Linked DNA regions of Ovis aries. The protein of the gene in region 2 purifies or fractionates together with the protein of the main gene of each other region. This does not show direct contact. Links are inferred from orthologs where the notes say so. Each region holds a gene or a part of one and is shown on either strand. Other genes may lie near its edges.

Region 1 (7,950 bases), on a different chromosome or scaffold from region 2:
TGACACTTTTGAGAACATCCAACTCCTTTAAGTATACCTGGTCATAGGCAGCCAGGAGAGCTCCAGCTCACAGTGAATTCAGCAAAATACCAAGTCATGGCATGGAGTCACTCTTAAATGTATTTCACCTTCAGTAAAACTACACTTAAGCACCCAAAGGCCGCTGCTGCTGCTGCTGCTGCTAAGTCACTTCAGTTGTGTCCGACTCTGTGCGACCCCATAAATGGCAGCTCACCAGGCTCCTCCACCCATGGGATTTTCCAGGCAAGAGTACTGGAGTAGGGTGCCATTGCCTTCTCCAACCCAAAGACTGAGAAGGGGCAAATTTTATGTAATTATTTGATCATCTTTTTGTGGAGAGCGAAATGTAACAGAACAGTAAATGTGGAGATCCTTGAAACAATAAGAGAGTTTTGGAGTTGAATATGGCAGGCATATCATGCTCAGTGGAAGCAGCAGATGTGGCCAAGGAAAAGCTAAAAAAGAAAAGGGTACATAGGTGATAGTGAGCTAGGTCAGGGTAATTAATATTTGAATAAAAATGCATTCATCAGAATGTCAAGAGTTCAGACTAGAAAGGTTTTGAATTGTATAGTGAAATGCATTCGAAAACCACCTCCCTCTAAACAAAATGCTGTTGATGTTTTGTTTTCACTGTTCACTCTCTCACCAGTAGAGGTAGAGGATTGGCTATCACTTTCAGAGAACACACTCTATCATTGAAACTGCACAGCAAGGTCATTTCTGTATCCAGCTGCATTTCTATTATAATCAACTAATGAGAAACAAGTGGCCTCTCCAGAACACTGGTCAAAGATAGCCCCCAGGATCAACAAAGCTGGAGTGAAAATTGCTCTTCTCTGAACATGTGCTGTGTGTGCTCATCACTTTGGATTGCTCGGGTTCATGGAAAGACTAATGAATTGCAAAGTATACTTAGAGGAAGAACCTGACATGCCCAGAGGAATCTTAGAGTTGGGTCCTTTAACAGGCAGATCTGGAGAAGGCGGGAGAGGGCAAGAAATTGAGTGGCATGCCATCTATGTTTTCAGTGTGCTGGGTACCTAGGGCTCAGCTACAGTGAGTATTTTCAACAGTTATTTCTGTAAACATGGCTGTGATGACTTAGACATAGGATTTGTGAGGACACCTTCAGCTTCTTTTCTGAATCTGAGGAAGGGCATTTAAGCTAACAAGTAGGTTTTTAAGGACATGTGTGGCAAACGTTTTCCCAGTGCAGAGATTAAGGGAGTCAACAAGCCCTTGTCTCTTGACGACAATGGGTGTGTCAATCTAGTTCTGTTGATTCCTCTAAACTTTTCTGGAGATTAGCAATCCACTCAATGCAAGAGTGCTTTACCTGGGCCCAGAGACCCACATACCAATCTAGTTCACACAACCTCTTAACCTTAACGATATACCCTCTATGCTTTGGCTTTTGGCTCAAATAATTTCCTAACCCTCCAGCCCAGTCCTTTTGAACGCTCCTCCAGTTTCCTCTGGCTTCACCAGCGGTCCCATCACTTCATGGCAAATAGATGGGGAAACAGTGGAAACAGTGGCTGACTTTACTTTTCTGGGCTCTAAAATCACTGCAGATGGTGATTGCAGCCATGAAATTAAAAGACACTTACTCCTTGGAAGGAAAGTTATGACCAAACTAGAAAGCATATTAAAAAGCAGAGACATCACTTTGCCAACAAAGGTCTGTCTAGTCAAGGCTATGGTTTTTCCAGTGGTCATGTTTGGATGTGAGAGTTGGACTATAAAGAAAGCTGAGCGCTGAAGAACTGATGCTTTTGAACTGTAGTGTTGGAGAAGACTCTTGAGAGTCCCTTGGATTGCAAGGAGATCCAACCAGTCCATCCTAAAGGAGATCAGTCCTGGGTGTTCACTGGAAGGACTGATGTTGAAGCTGAAAGTCCAATACTTTGGCCACCTCATGTGAAGAGCTGACTCATTGGAAAAGACCCTGATGCTGGGAAAGATCGAGGGCAGGAGGAGAAGGGGACGATAGAGGATGAGATGGTTGGATGGCATCACCGACTCGATGGACATGGGTTTGGGTGGACTCCAGGAGTTGGTGATGGACAGGGAGGCCTGGCATGCTGCGGTTCATGGGGTCGCAAAGAGTCGGACACGACTGAGTGACTGAACTGACCTGAACAGAACACCGGCGAAGTTCCAGGCCAGGGCCAGACTTAGGGTGAGGAGAGTGAGGTACTTGGCCGGGCGCCAAATGTTAGCGGACACCAAACAACTCAGGAATCAAAATGAACGATTCTTTTTAATGCACCATTTTAAAAATCCAAAGGAATGCAAAAATCCTTGATGAACATTTCAAATTTCTGAATAAAGACAGGCTCCCTTCTTGCACTGGCAGGGCCCTGCCTCACTTGCCTCACCATCACCCTAGCCCTGGGGCTCCAAGTAAACTTGATTTACAAAAACAGGCGACCGACCAGCGCGCCACAATTTATCTATATGAATTTTTAAAATATTGCATTCAATATTATTTCTCTTGACAACCAAATTTGGGTAGCGAGGGGGGGTATGTTTTTTGTTGGTTCTTTAGGGTCCCCTTAAATACTGCGCCTCACCCTGGTCCAGGCACACCGTGACCTCTCCCCCTCCGCGCCCCGGAGCCTCCCCTGGGGTCCCGCGTCCGGGTCAGGTACTCTGGGGCCGCCGCCTCCTCGGGCCGGGTCAGGTGCTGCGGACGAGCCCGGGCAGCGCGGAGGGCGGTCCCTGCCACACTCCACGGCTCCTCCCTCCGCGCGCTCAGCCACTCAGCGGCCCCGCCGCCCTGCGCGCCGGGGCTCAGGGCCCGCCCCCGACGCCGGCCGCCCAGGCGCCGGCTCCCCCTATATAAATCAGCCATTTGCTTCGCTCCGCCCCAGAGCCCCGGAGTCCAAGCCGGTTCCTCGTCGATCTTTCAGTCGTCCGCTTACTCTTTCCTTCCAAGATGACAGATGCCGCCGTGTCCTTCGCCAAGGACTTCCTGGCAGGTGGAGTGGCGGCGGCCATCTCCAAGACCGCGGTCGCGCCCATCGAGCGGGTGAAGCTGCTGCTGCAGGTATGTCTCGGAATCCGAGAGCCTGACCAGGAAGTGGGGGGAGGGGCCGCGCGGGAAGCGGTGGTCCGGGGCCTGGGGGGAACCAGCCCTCGAGATCTGCCCAGGGAAGTGGCAGCGTGGGAGCAGGGGTGGCCGCGGGGTAGGACCAAAAAAGGCAGACTTGAGAGAGGTGTTTTAGTGATGTGAACTTTAGGATCTCGGGAAGGGTCGGGGGCGGAGGGTGGGCGGAGGAAGACCAGGGCCTGGGCATCCCAGAGGCAGCGAACTCGGATGGGGCAGCCCAGGAGTGACTGGCTCCCGGGCCTTGTGTCAAGGGCGAAGACGCTGAAAAGAGGGACACCTGCCTGTACCGAGGACCTCAGGGTCGTGGCAAGGAGATAACAGCCTGGGGGAGGCCACGCGGTCGGTGGAGCGGCCTCGCAGCCGGCAGCCGCGCTCAGACCGGCCGGGCCGGAAGCCGGCGCCGGGAAGCGCGTGTCCCTTGTGCGTCTGCCCCCGCGCGGCCGCTGGCGCGTTCCCGCGGCCTGGCGGCGCGCTCTGCTACTCCGGCTCTAGAGGGCGCGCCCGCACAGGCTGACGGGTGGTGGCCCTCAGGTCACCTCCAGGAGAGGGGGACCCAAGCGGGAGGGAAGCTGCTCCCAGGGACCTTAGGCGAAGACCACGGTCACCAGGGTGACCGCGCCTGATGTGGGACGCGCCCTAATGTCTCTGATCCAGGGTCTGAGATAATGACCTTTCTCCCAGGTCTAAAGGTCACAGCTCCGCTTGAGGGTGGCACCTCCTCACCCAGAGGGGTGGAGGCTTAATGCTTCTAGCTGTGACAGCGGCAGAAGGTTAGGAGGGTCCCACCTGTGGGATCTAGAAGGCCAGACTTGGGGCAGGTGGGAGCCAGCTAACCTTTAAGGGTGTCCGTTGAGATGCTATATTCTCTTCCCTTCTTGTGATTATCACTCTTTCTGTTGGCCTCCTTGTCTGTCAGGTGCAGCATGCCAGCAAGCAAATCACTGCAGATAAGCAGTACAAGGGCATCATAGACTGCGTGGTTCGTATCCCCAAGGAGCAGGGAGTCCTGTCCTTCTGGCGTGGTAACCTGGCCAATGTGATCAGATACTTCCCCACCCAGGCTCTCAACTTTGCCTTCAAAGATAAATACAAGCAGATCTTCCTGGGTGGTGTGGATAAGAGGACCCAGTTTTGGCGCTACTTTGCAGGAAATCTGGCATCAGGTGGTGCCGCCGGGGCCACGTCCCTGTGTTTCGTGTACCCTCTCGACTTTGCCCGTACCCGTCTAGCAGCCGACGTGGGCAAAGCTGGAGCTGAAAGGGAATTCAGAGGCCTCGGTGACTGCCTGGTTAAGATCTACAAATCTGACGGGATTAGAGGCCTGTACCAAGGCTTTAACGTGTCTGTGCAGGGTATTATCATCTACCGAGCTGCCTACTTCGGTATATATGACACTGCGAAGGGTAAGTTTGCCCGTGGGCTTCAGAACTGTCCATGTGAGAACTTTTAAAGGGTTATCTGAAGGCAGCCAGTGTCACCCCGTACAGCCCTTTGTGTACAGAGATGTTGGGGGTGGGGGACATGGAAAACAAGTCAGGAAGACTCTGCTTACTGGTAAAAGTGTCTCTCTTCTATTCTCAGGAATGCTTCCAGATCCCAAGAACACTCATATCTTCATCAGCTGGATGATCGCACAGTCAGTCACGGCGGTTGCTGGGTTGACTTCCTATCCGTTCGACACTGTGCGTCGCCGCATGATGATGCAGTCAGGGCGCAAAGGAAGTAAGTTCCACTGGAGCAAAAGATACAGATGTGGGCATGGCACATGGGCACAGACCAGCCATGCCTGCCTTTGAAAATGGCAGTCTGTTGAGATCCCAGGTGGGGTTGATTGGTCTGTGTCCACTGCACAGTCTCCTTTCAGCAGGCCCTTTGGGTGCCTATGCCCAAGGGGGCTTGCCTGGTGTTAGAGGTTAAGGCCAGCAGGTTGTCTGCACCTCCCCGTTGTCCTTTAGTCACCATATTAAGATTGCAGTATTGGCCACACTAATGTGTAAATGTTGGATTTTTTAAAACTGACAATAGCTCTTAGAGGTGGGGCTCTGGGTTAGTCTGGTTAAACTTAAGGACTTTTCACCTCAGCCTCGGGTCACCAACCCTTTGTCTTTGTCCTTTGCAGCTGATATCATGTACACAGGCACGCTTGACTGCTGGAGGAAGATTGCTCGTGACGAAGGAGCCAAAGCCTTTTTCAAAGGCGCGTGGTCCAATGTTCTCAGAGGCATGGGCGGGGCTTTTGTGCTTGTCCTGTATGATGAAATCAAGAAGTTCACCTAAGTTATTTCCTAGTTTTTCTCCTGTGACTAGGCATGTTGTATTATATAACATATCTTGAGCATTCCTGACAGACTGTTAGCTGTCTATTTATCTATGGCAACTATTTACTGGTTGAAAATGGGAAGCAATAATATTCACCTGACCAGTTTTCTCTTAAAGCCATTTCCATGATGACGATGGGACCCAGTTTTTTATTTCAGTCACTCCTGGCAAATAACAAATTTGAAGAAATAAAAAATACCTGGAATAGTTTTGTTTGTGGTTTATTTTCATTTGAAAGTACATTAGATAATTTAGTAAGGGCTATGTTTGGGTAAATGCTGCAGTATATCCTGAGGTGATGAGCTTTCTTCTAAAACCAATCTTCAGCCATCCACTTAGCAAAGAACACCTTGGCTGTGTGACCCATCGACATTCCAGACCCAGAGCAACCGAAAACTGTTGGTCCATTGCCTGTGGACAGTGACAGCTAATGAGCTTTCTCTGAAAAGCACTCTGGAACCACCTTTCCTATCTTGTGCTTATTAATGAAATACTAGCTGAATTTTACACTTGAATTCCATCTCATTTCATGATGAAATTCATTCCTCCATGAGTTTCATGTCATTTAAACAAAAGTGTTGTGAAAGTGAAGTCGCTCAGTCGTGTCCAACTCTTTGCGACCCCATAGACTGTAGCCTACCAGGCTCCTCTGTCCATGGGATTTTCCAGGCAATAGTACTGGAGTGGATTGCCATTTCCTTCAGGGGATTTTCCTGACCCAGGGATCAAACCCAGGCCTATATTGCAGGTGGATTCTTTACTGTCAGCCACCAGGGAAGCCCATAAGGTGGTAACAGCAATTTTTGTCCAATTGCCTTCCCTCCTCCATCTTTACCTGTCTCAAGTCAATCTAATCCTGTTCAAAGCAGAGGATTAGAACTGGCATAGTTAGGCAGTGCTGAGATGGCAATACTGTTAAAGATTATGGAGAGAGCTGCCAAGAACCCAAATCTCACTACAAAAAGGAAACTGCATCTACATTTTGGCTGGCATTTTAATCAGCCCAGTTAATGGAGGATGCGTGTTTCTTTTGGAAGAGTCCTTCCTTGGGATCCACATGAGAGTGTGTTTGCAATTTCTGCAGCTCCTGTAGCCTCAGAAATACAGGGATTTTACCTAAAACATGAGGTTTGTAGGAAGCACCATGGCTGGCAAACCACAACATTCAAAGTAGAAAATGATAGGTAATCCACTTGCACAGGTGAAAGTTCCTGAGGAATGCGACATAACGCTAGCATGTTTATCTGCCACTCATAGATAGGGTCTGCATGGCAGGTGTTATTGCCCACAGGATCCTAGTGTTTTTTGTTATGTGCCACCTGGCCAAGCACCTGAGTCAACACAATGTACACATACCAAGTTATATACCTTAAATATACACAATGTTTTTATATAGTGGATTTATCCCTTACCTTCAGTGATACTGACAATAAAAAATATCTTAGTAAAGTTGCTAAAAAAAAAAAACCACAAGACTACTGGTATCAAGCCTGGATTCTGCCACAACTGTGCTGTTGGATAAGTTAATTTCAAGCCTCAGTTTTCCTCATCTATAAAATGAGGATACTAATAATGCCTGCCTTTGAGAGTTGTTTCAAGGATTAAAGGAGATTCCATTTCGCTCCCTGGGTCAGGAAGATTCCCTGGAGAAGGAAATGGCAACCCACTCCAATATTCTTGCCTGGAGAATTCCATGGACAGAGGAGCCGGGTGGGCTACAGTCCAAGGGGTCACAAAGAGTTGTACGTGACTGAGTGAATACCACCACATCTACCATAGAACATACATAACGTTGTAAGTGGTAACTATGATAATTATTAACAGACAGTTAAGGTTTCAGGGGCTCCAAAATCAGAAGTACCTGGATTTGAATCCCAGCTCTGCTGCTTACTTAACTGTATGGCCTTGGGCAAGTCACTTATCCTAGGTCTCAGTTTCTTCATCTGTAAAATGGGGATATAACAGTGCTAGCCATATTTCCTTGGAGTCTTGGGAGTGAGAGTTAAATAACATAAAGCATGTAAGGCAATCAATGTAGTGCCCGGCATCTAGTAAGCTCTCTGATGTGAGTTTTTCATAATTAGACATCCATTTTGTGGAATGAAGATCTGCCTAAGCAGAGAACTACTTAAGAATGAACTCAAACTCACTTCTCTTTTCTCTGCAACAGCTTAGATATACTATTTTGTGTAGGATTTATATAAAATAAACTTCAGATCGGGTCTTTTTTCAGAGAATTTGATCCTGAAAGGGGATAAGAGGCTCTTCACTTAGGGCTGCAAACCATAATACAAGAGAACCCAAGTCCCCTTTATGGTTATTACAATAGATGTGGGCTCACTGAGCTGGCAGCTATTAAAATAAACCTAGGACCAAGCGTTAATGATCAGAAAGAAAGAAGTGGTGCTTCCTACAATTGGGTGGCTGACATAGATGAGGTGTGTTTTTTTCTCCCCCTCTTTCTATTCTTGTTCAATGATTTTTGAAATTTA
Region 2 (8,028 bases):
CCCCTACCCTGTCCAACACACTTCTCACTCTCAAGCACCACCACAGACGCCCGTTCCTCACAGCTCCTCTCTGCTTCCCTCCACACTGCATACCACACCCCACTCCTAACGCCTGTCCACGCCTGTCTCCCTTGCTAGATCGAACTCCTAAAGGCTCCAGCTTTACTCATTGCTGAAGTACCCCACCCTCCGAACCAGCACAAAGCCTGACACTACCATAGAAAGCAAACATCTGCCAAGGACCAGCAACATCCACGCGATCCCCTCTTCCTGCACAGAAAGGCTGCAGCCGAGCCAGCACCTGCCGCTCCATTTACTGCCGTGCACCTCTGCGTGCACGATAGGGAGGGGAGAACCGTGACAATAATTCATTTCGGGCTCCAACCAGGGAGTTGGTGGCATGTCAGACACCAAGTTGCTCAGGGTGTGGGTCCCGGCCCAGGAGGTAACAGTGTGGGGCCAACACTGCTGGAAACACAGGTCTAGAAGCAAGGCCAAGGGCAAGCCAGCTGAGAAGGCAACATAACGGCTGGATCAGCGTACAGTCACCCCGGGGGCAAGAGCTGATGGGAAGGGCCAACCGCGAGAGCAGAGGCACACTCAGATTTCTTTAAAGCTGGATTGCGATGTGACTACTGATATACATCCGCCCATTTCCCTAAATTCATACAGTTGTGTGTGTATCTTGAATATACAGGCACAGCTCATTTATTTGTGCTTCGCATACACTGTATTTCCTACAAATTGAAGGTCTGGGGCAACACTTTATCAAGCAAGTTTACCACCATCATTTTTCTAACAGCACCTGCTCACTTCATGTCTGTATCACATTTTTAAAGATACTTACTTAGCTGCTTTGGGTCTTAGTTGTGGCACATGGGATCTTTTGCTGCAATACGGGGACTCTCTAGCCTTAGTTGCATGGGCTCTAGTTCACTGACTGGGGATCGAACCGGTATCCCCTGCATTGCAAGGCAGATTCTAAACTACCAAGAAAGTCTCTCTGAGTCACATTTTGGCAACTCTTAACAACATTCCAAACTTTCCAATATTATTACATTCACTATGGTGATCTGTGATGTTACTATTATAATTCACTGAAGGCTCAGATGATGGTTAGCATCTTTTAGCCATAAGGTATTTTTTAATCATGGTATGTACACTGTTTCTTTAGAGATAGAGCTGTTGCACCTGTAACAGGATACAGTATGGGATAAACATAACTTCTATTCTATATGCACTGGGAAACAAAAATATTTGTGTGACTCACTTTATTACAACATTTGCTTTGTTGCAGGGGTCTGGAACTGAATTCATAATGTCTCTTCAGGCATCCTTGTATACTTCTTTTTCTGTAGCCACATAAAACTCTTCAGGAAAAATATTTAGGGAAGTTCAACCCATTCTGGATCCCACAGCACCTGTTCCACACACTCCACTTTACCTGACCCACAGATGAGACTTACCTTTGCTACCAGTGATTACTGGCACATTACGTGGTCGAGAGCGGCAGTCAAAGATAATTGGTTTCTGTACCCAAGGGATGAGGAAGTGAGTCCCTTCTCCTACGACAATGTCCTGCACTCCCCGGAACCGGTCAAAGATGACAGCTCTGTGCCCAGCATCCACTGGGAATGAAGGATAACAATGGGTCACAAAAATCCCCTCACCCTTAACCAAAAGGATCGTGTCTGAAAGGCCCCTGGTGTTTTCTGATTATATAGTAAGTCTCTTGCTCTGTCTTCCCACACTTCAGGACTCCAGAGGCTTCTTAACAGCTACGAAACAAAGCAATCACTTTCTGTCCTGTGTCCTCCTAAGGACTTTGGTAACAGGATCTATTCTCAGCATTCTTCCTCCTTGAAACAACTGGCTGCTGATTTTCTGATTAACCACTCCACCCGTGAACTCCCACCAACACATTCCTAGGAACCAGCTCCCCAAACTTCCTTCTAAAACTCAGTCCATCCTGGTTCCAATTTAACCCAGTATTCCCAGAAGTAGCACCCTTCCTATGGCAATCCTAAAATTTGGAAGTCCTCATTTTTTTCTTTCCAACAGCTTGGTTTCTCTAAAATCTGAAGGGGTTATAGAGCTGTCTTGCTAATTTCAGAGAGAAATTAATGATGGTGATTACAGTCTAGCCATGCAGGGTGGCCAAAAAGATCAGAGTATAAAGCTGGGCCACAGAAGCAGAGCAGGCTTTTCTGATCAGCCACTTTCTGTCTCTGCCTTTTTGGGCTTTATAGTTGGTCCAGTATCTTCACTCTGAAAGTAATCCTCCTGCTGTCAGAGTCTCGCGTGAGATGGGTCAATCTATTGCTGCTTTCCAACAGTGAAAAGTTAAGAGAATATCAAAGCAGGAAGTATCTTAGACATAAACTAGTTCAATCCTGCTGCTTGACCAATGAGAAACCTGCGTCCTATGGAGGAGAAGGTGACTTGCCTAAGGTCACATAGGAAAGTGGAAGAAAACCTAGCTGTTTTTATTTTTTAAATTTTTGGCCACACCGCTCCACCTACAGGATCTTAATTCGTCAACCAGAGAGCAAATCTGCACTCCCTGCAATGGAAGGACAGAGTCTTAACCACTGGACTGCCAGGGACGTCCTCAAAAGACAGCTTAAAGCCTGGTTACACTGTTAAAACCTGGGCAATGCATCTCAAAGATATTTTCTTGGGAACAACTCAACTAGAGCAGAGCAAAAGTTTTTGCTCAGATCAAGGTCACCAAAGGTCTAAAGCCCTTGCTGAGTTACTCCCCACATAGGCAGAAGAGAACAGACTCTCCATTTCAACTGGCCAGCAAAATCCTGACATACTGATACTTTAACAAGAGAAAGTGGAAACACCCAACTAGGTTGGGAGGCTCTTTGTAAAGAAAGGTTCTGAGAGAACCTAAGGCTCCAAGGACAGAGGTTCTGATGACAAGGCCATCATATGGTGCAGGATGGCAGCAGGTGAGCCTTCTTGGTCAAATATATTCACAGCAAGTGGCTGCCAACAGGAGTGTCACATGGGCTAGGCAGACCAATGAAAATCCTCTGGCGAAGGTCAGTGACCCACCACCCCTCAGTGCCTCACCATTATACAAGGCAGAGTTCACCACGCCTCCTGCAACGGCTAAGGCAAGCCCAAACTTGCCAATGGACTCAAACACTTTGGCAGCCATGTCTCCTGGGGCTGGACCCACTCACACCTAAGGGGGTAAAAACAAAACAAACAAAACAACTCAATCCCCAATCCTCAGAGGAAGCCCTCTCTGAGGCATCACATGCATTTCTCAAGCTAGCTATTTATTTCCCCACTCCTGAGAGCTCTAAATCTTCAACTGAAAGACATTTCATAAATAACATTCTGCAGCTTGTAAAAGTGTATAATCAATTCCTCTGATCTTCTTTTTCCGCTACTTTCTTCTTTTTCTACTACTTAAGAAATGGCGTCTGGGGTATTGGTTCCAAATGGGAAGGAGACATGGGTTGGATTACCCATAGAAAACTTAGCACCATACCAAAAGAGCCTCTCATCTCCTGGACCTGCAGGCCCCAGAAGAGAGGCTGTGGGGTTGGTTCTGTGTGATTTTGATTCAGAAAAGAACGTGATTCCAACAACAAAACAACAGTAGCAGCTAACCTTTACAATAGGCAGTCTTCTAACATCAATTGGTGTATTTAATCTTCACATCAACCCCTATGAAGTAGAGGACTACACAGATGAGGAAACTGAAGCACAAAGAGAGGTTAAGTTACAAGAAAAGCCTAAGATCACGCAGCTATGAAGGAGGCAAAGACGATTAGAACCTGGAAGTCTAATTCTAGAAGACACAGCTTAACTCCTCACCACGGTTTCTCAACATCAGGTATGAAGAATGAATAACCTGTTATTATGGAAGCAGGCTCTGGATGACGTTCTGGGGTCAACAAATCACGAGAAATAACAGGGCCCAAAATGTACTAAACAGCTGCACCGCGAGCAACAGCCCTGGAACAGGTGGGGGTGGGGGCAGAAGCGGGGTGGACGGGAGCGCGGCGGACCTCTACAATCTGCTCTTGCACTGAAACTTTGTCTTTCCCCGCCCCCATCGTCGTCGGCCACTTCAGCCTCTACCCCTCCTTCTCAGGCCTCAACTTCTGAGTATCTTCATCTCTATCCGTGCACTTAACTATTCCATTCCCGTGATCAGGACGCCTAGTGCTGACCCCTCGGCCTTTCCATTCCTAATATCTTCTGGATTATTCCTCACCCTGCCCCCATACACACCTACCTACCTCTACGTAACTCCTGGCTCCTCCCAGGCTCACCCCCTTCCCCTCCGACACGAGGCGGACCCAGGCACACACTCCGCCCGCCCAAACTTGAGGAGAATGGGAACGCAGAGGGGGGACTGCAGAGACGCCAGAACGCGGACCACAGCCGCTCCCCAGCTTTCTCACCTGCTTCCACTCTGACCTCCACATGAATTCCCCAGCCACAGACAGCGCGTGCGCCGGACAGCTCCTCCATGTCCCCGCCCTACTTCCAAGATCCGCGCTTCGGATTGGTGAGGACGAGCGCGATGCACTCTGGGAAGGGTGGCTTGCTGCCTTACTGTTGTTCCCAGACTCTTCGCAGATGAACTACAATTCCCAAAAAGCCATGCGGGGGTTGACCCGCGCTGAAAAACCTTTTGTCTTTGGTAGTACTGAAGGCCCAGAGATTGCCGCAAAGCATTTGGGGGGCTGTAGTTTCTTGGGGGATAAATGCACGTGCCTGTTGTGAACTGAAGCTGGAGGCTACCAGATGAGCCCTAAGGCCCTCAGAAAGAGTAGCTGGGCCTGCTGGCTGGTGGACGAGATGGGCAAGGGCAAGTTTATGGCTGATGAAAGAGGGCGGGTGTGCATGGGGGATAAAGTTGTGAAGTAACTGGTGGACTGAGAGACAGAGGAGATATCTTCTTTCCAAAGCCCTGTCTAGAAGCGACCTGAGTTGTGGGACATTGATTGCCAGAGTCAGAGAGAACCTTAGAAACCATCTGGACTAGAAAATGAGGTCCAGAGAGAGGAAGGGAGTCATTCAGGGTCATGCAACAATTTAAAAAAGGGATTGGGCTTAAAGTCTGGGTTCGGGGGACACATTTGTAAAAGTCTTATTTGGAGAATTTGCAAAGATAGTGCAAAGAAGATGTGTAATCTTTACTCAAATTCACCTACTGCTAACAATTTGCTCCATTTACTTTTTTGATCTAAAGCAATAAAATAGCCAGTTATTTTATCAGCAAATTGGGTTTACTTGAGAACAGCAAAGAATTGCAATTCTGGCTGAGCAATCTATGGCAACCCACAGGCAAGTCTGCAGAACAAAGCAGAGGACTTTTCTTTTTTAGTGGAGAAGGGTGACTTGGAAGGGACTGTCATAAACAAAGTTAGAGGGAACTGGGAATCAAAAAGTGTGGCTTTTCGTTGTCTCAGTTGTGACAGTCTCTTTCTTATTGGCTGGGCTGTTTCTGAGCAAGGAGAAAATTTTCCTTCCTTCTGCTGGAAACTAAAGTAGTAACCTTTCTATTGGAGATGCAAAGCTGTCTCTTCCTGTTGAGTCTCTACCTGTTGGTAGGTTGTGAGAGTTCCCCTTTCTGTTCTCCTGACTCAATTTAAAATGAGGTTTCTGCTTATTAATTTTCACATCTTATCATTTGTTCCCTCCTCTCTCTCTGCCTCCTTTTTTCTCTCTCTTTGTATTTTCACAGAATAAGGATATCCTATTACATAACTTGAATAAATTTAATATACCTTCTACATCCCATTTTTTCGATTGACCCAGTAATGAACTTTATAGCAGTCTTCTCCTCTCAGCCTCCAATATAGAAGGCAGTCAAGATTTGGTACTGTATTTATTTTTCCTGTCTCTTTAGTCTTCTTAATTTGTCCTCAGGCTTCCTTGCCTTTTGTTATATTAAAATAGAAAAAAAGAATGTTCTGGTATTGGGTTTCTCTAATGTTTCCTCATAATTAGATTTGTTGTTTTGCATTCTTAACTGAGGTAGCTAAGTGGTGTATGGACACTTAATTTTAACGAAACCAGGCCCGTTTCTGGATTCTAGTATGATTGGATTCTTTCAACTTCTTTTTCCTGCATTCCTCTCCTCTCTGTCTCTCTTTTTTGTCCCCGCTTGGCACCAGTGGGGTAACAAAGGGCCAGAGATATGCATGGGCAGCACTCTGCAGGTGGTAGGTATTTACCCTCAGGGCCCACAGGCTTCTCCTCTGCCTACCAGAATACAAGCTCTATGAGGGCTGAATATTTAGTCTACTGTCTTCGTTGTTCTGTTCCCAGAATGTACAACAGTGCTTGGCACACAGTGGGCACTCAATAAGTATTTATTGAATGAATGAATAATGAAGAGCATTGATGTGGCTGGCTAGGCAGACTGTGGCCAGGAAACGCAAAGCAGGATGCTCCAGAATCCTGCAAGAATAGCCTTAGTATTGTCTGCTTCTATTCTCATCTCACTAGCAGGAATGCTGAAAATACGAAACAACAACAACAACGACAATTTTTGTATGTTTTATAACTTTCAAGTCTGTGTATCTACAACATCCCACATGAGCATCATTACAACCCCTTATGTTCTGCAGATAAAGTCAAAGTTCAGAGGTTAAATCACTTGTTTGGGGTCACTCATCTAGTCAGAGCCCGACTGAACTGGATCACACATCTTCCAGGTCTAAGCCCTGTTTCCACTTCCCCTCTATGTCCTGGGAAGCAAAGGGAAAGCTTTTCCTGTGTTACAGGAAAGCTCATGTGACATGAGGGCACTGTGTGGGACTGGCCTGGTTGTAGGTGGAGAGATGGGAAGGATAAAGGATAATCATACTGAGGGGGTTATCTGGGAAGAATTTAATTGGGCTGAGGCAAAAGTTAAGGAAGAGCAGCATTGGGGCAGTGTGGAGATTCCTTAAAAAACTGGAAATAGAATTGCCATACGACCCAGCAATCCCACTGCTGGGCATACACACCAAGGAAACCAGATCTGAAAGAGGCACATTTACACCAGTTTTCATCACAGCACTGTTTATGATAGCTAGGACATGGAAGCAACCTAGATGTCCATCAGCAGATGAATGGATAACAAAGCTGTGGTACATATGCACAGTGGAATATTACTCAGCTATTAAAAAGAATGCATTTGAATCAGTTCTAATGAGGTGAATGAAACTGGAGCTTATTATACAGAGCGAAGTAAGTCAGAAAGAAAAACACCAATATAGTATATTAATGCATATATATGGAATTTAGAAAGATGGTAAGGATGACCCTATATGCGAGACAGCAAGAGACACATATATAAAGAACAGATTTTTGGACTCTGTGGGAGAGGGCGAGGGTGGGATGATTTGAGAGAGTAGCATTGAAACATGTATATTACCGTACGTGAAATAGACGACCAGTCCAAGTTCAATGCATGAAACAGGGCACTCAAAGCCGGTGCACTGGGACAACCCAGAGGAATGGGATGGGGAGGGAGGGGGGAGGAAGGCTTAGGATGGGGGATACATGTACATCCACGGCTGATTCATGTCAATGTTTGGCAAAAAACAAACAAACAAACACTACAATGTTGTAAAGTAATTAGCCTCTAATTAAAATAAATTAATATTTTAAAAATTTAGGGAAGAGCAGATTTGGGGCACCAGCTTCAGGGGTAGATCCAATTTATTGCTACACAAGGCATTTACCCTTCAGCTCTTCTTCCAGCCAGGTGTGCACGTTGGTGTTAAGAAGAAATAATCTTGAACACTGACTGTGAACCACTTGCTTCATAAATACACAGTCTTATTTCAATTCAGTTCAGTTCAGTTGCTCAGTGGTGTCCAAGTCTTTGCCACCCCATGGACTGTAGCACACCAGGCCTCCCTGCCCATCACCAACTCCTGGAGTTTACTCAGACTAATGTCCATTGAATGGGTGATGCCATCCAACCATCTCATCCTTTGTTGTCCCCTTCTTCTCCCACCTTCAATCTTTCCCAGCATCAGGATCTTTGCAAATGAA

The links. Proteins that work in one complex are often made in the same cells at the same time.
Region 1: the proteins of PHB1 (region 2) and SLC25A5 purify together in Homo sapiens (affinity purification with mass spectrometry; 3 studies listed by BioGRID and IntAct, with this or other methods). This does not show direct contact. The link is inferred for Ovis aries from reciprocal best matches to the Homo sapiens genes PHB1 and SLC25A5.

Annotation. Positions count from the first base shown.
Region 1 is NC_056080.1:114,992,976-115,000,925, reverse strand, and holds SLC25A5 (ADP/ATP translocase 2), read left to right. Parts: upstream 1-2,965; coding exon 2,966-3,076; intron 3,077-4,055; coding exon 4,056-4,542; intron 4,543-4,720; coding exon 4,721-4,861; intron 4,862-5,258; coding exon 5,259-5,416; downstream 5,417-7,950.
Region 2 is NC_056064.1:36,924,743-36,932,770, reverse strand, and holds the start of PHB1 (prohibitin 1), read right to left. Parts: upstream 4,467-8,028; 5' UTR 4,269-4,466; intron 3,723-4,268; exon of another isoform or gene 3,634-3,722; intron 3,200-3,633; 5' UTR 3,173-3,199; coding exon 3,085-3,172; intron 1,629-3,084; coding exon 1,467-1,628; intron 1,461-1,466; exon of another isoform or gene 1,271-1,460; intron 1-1,270.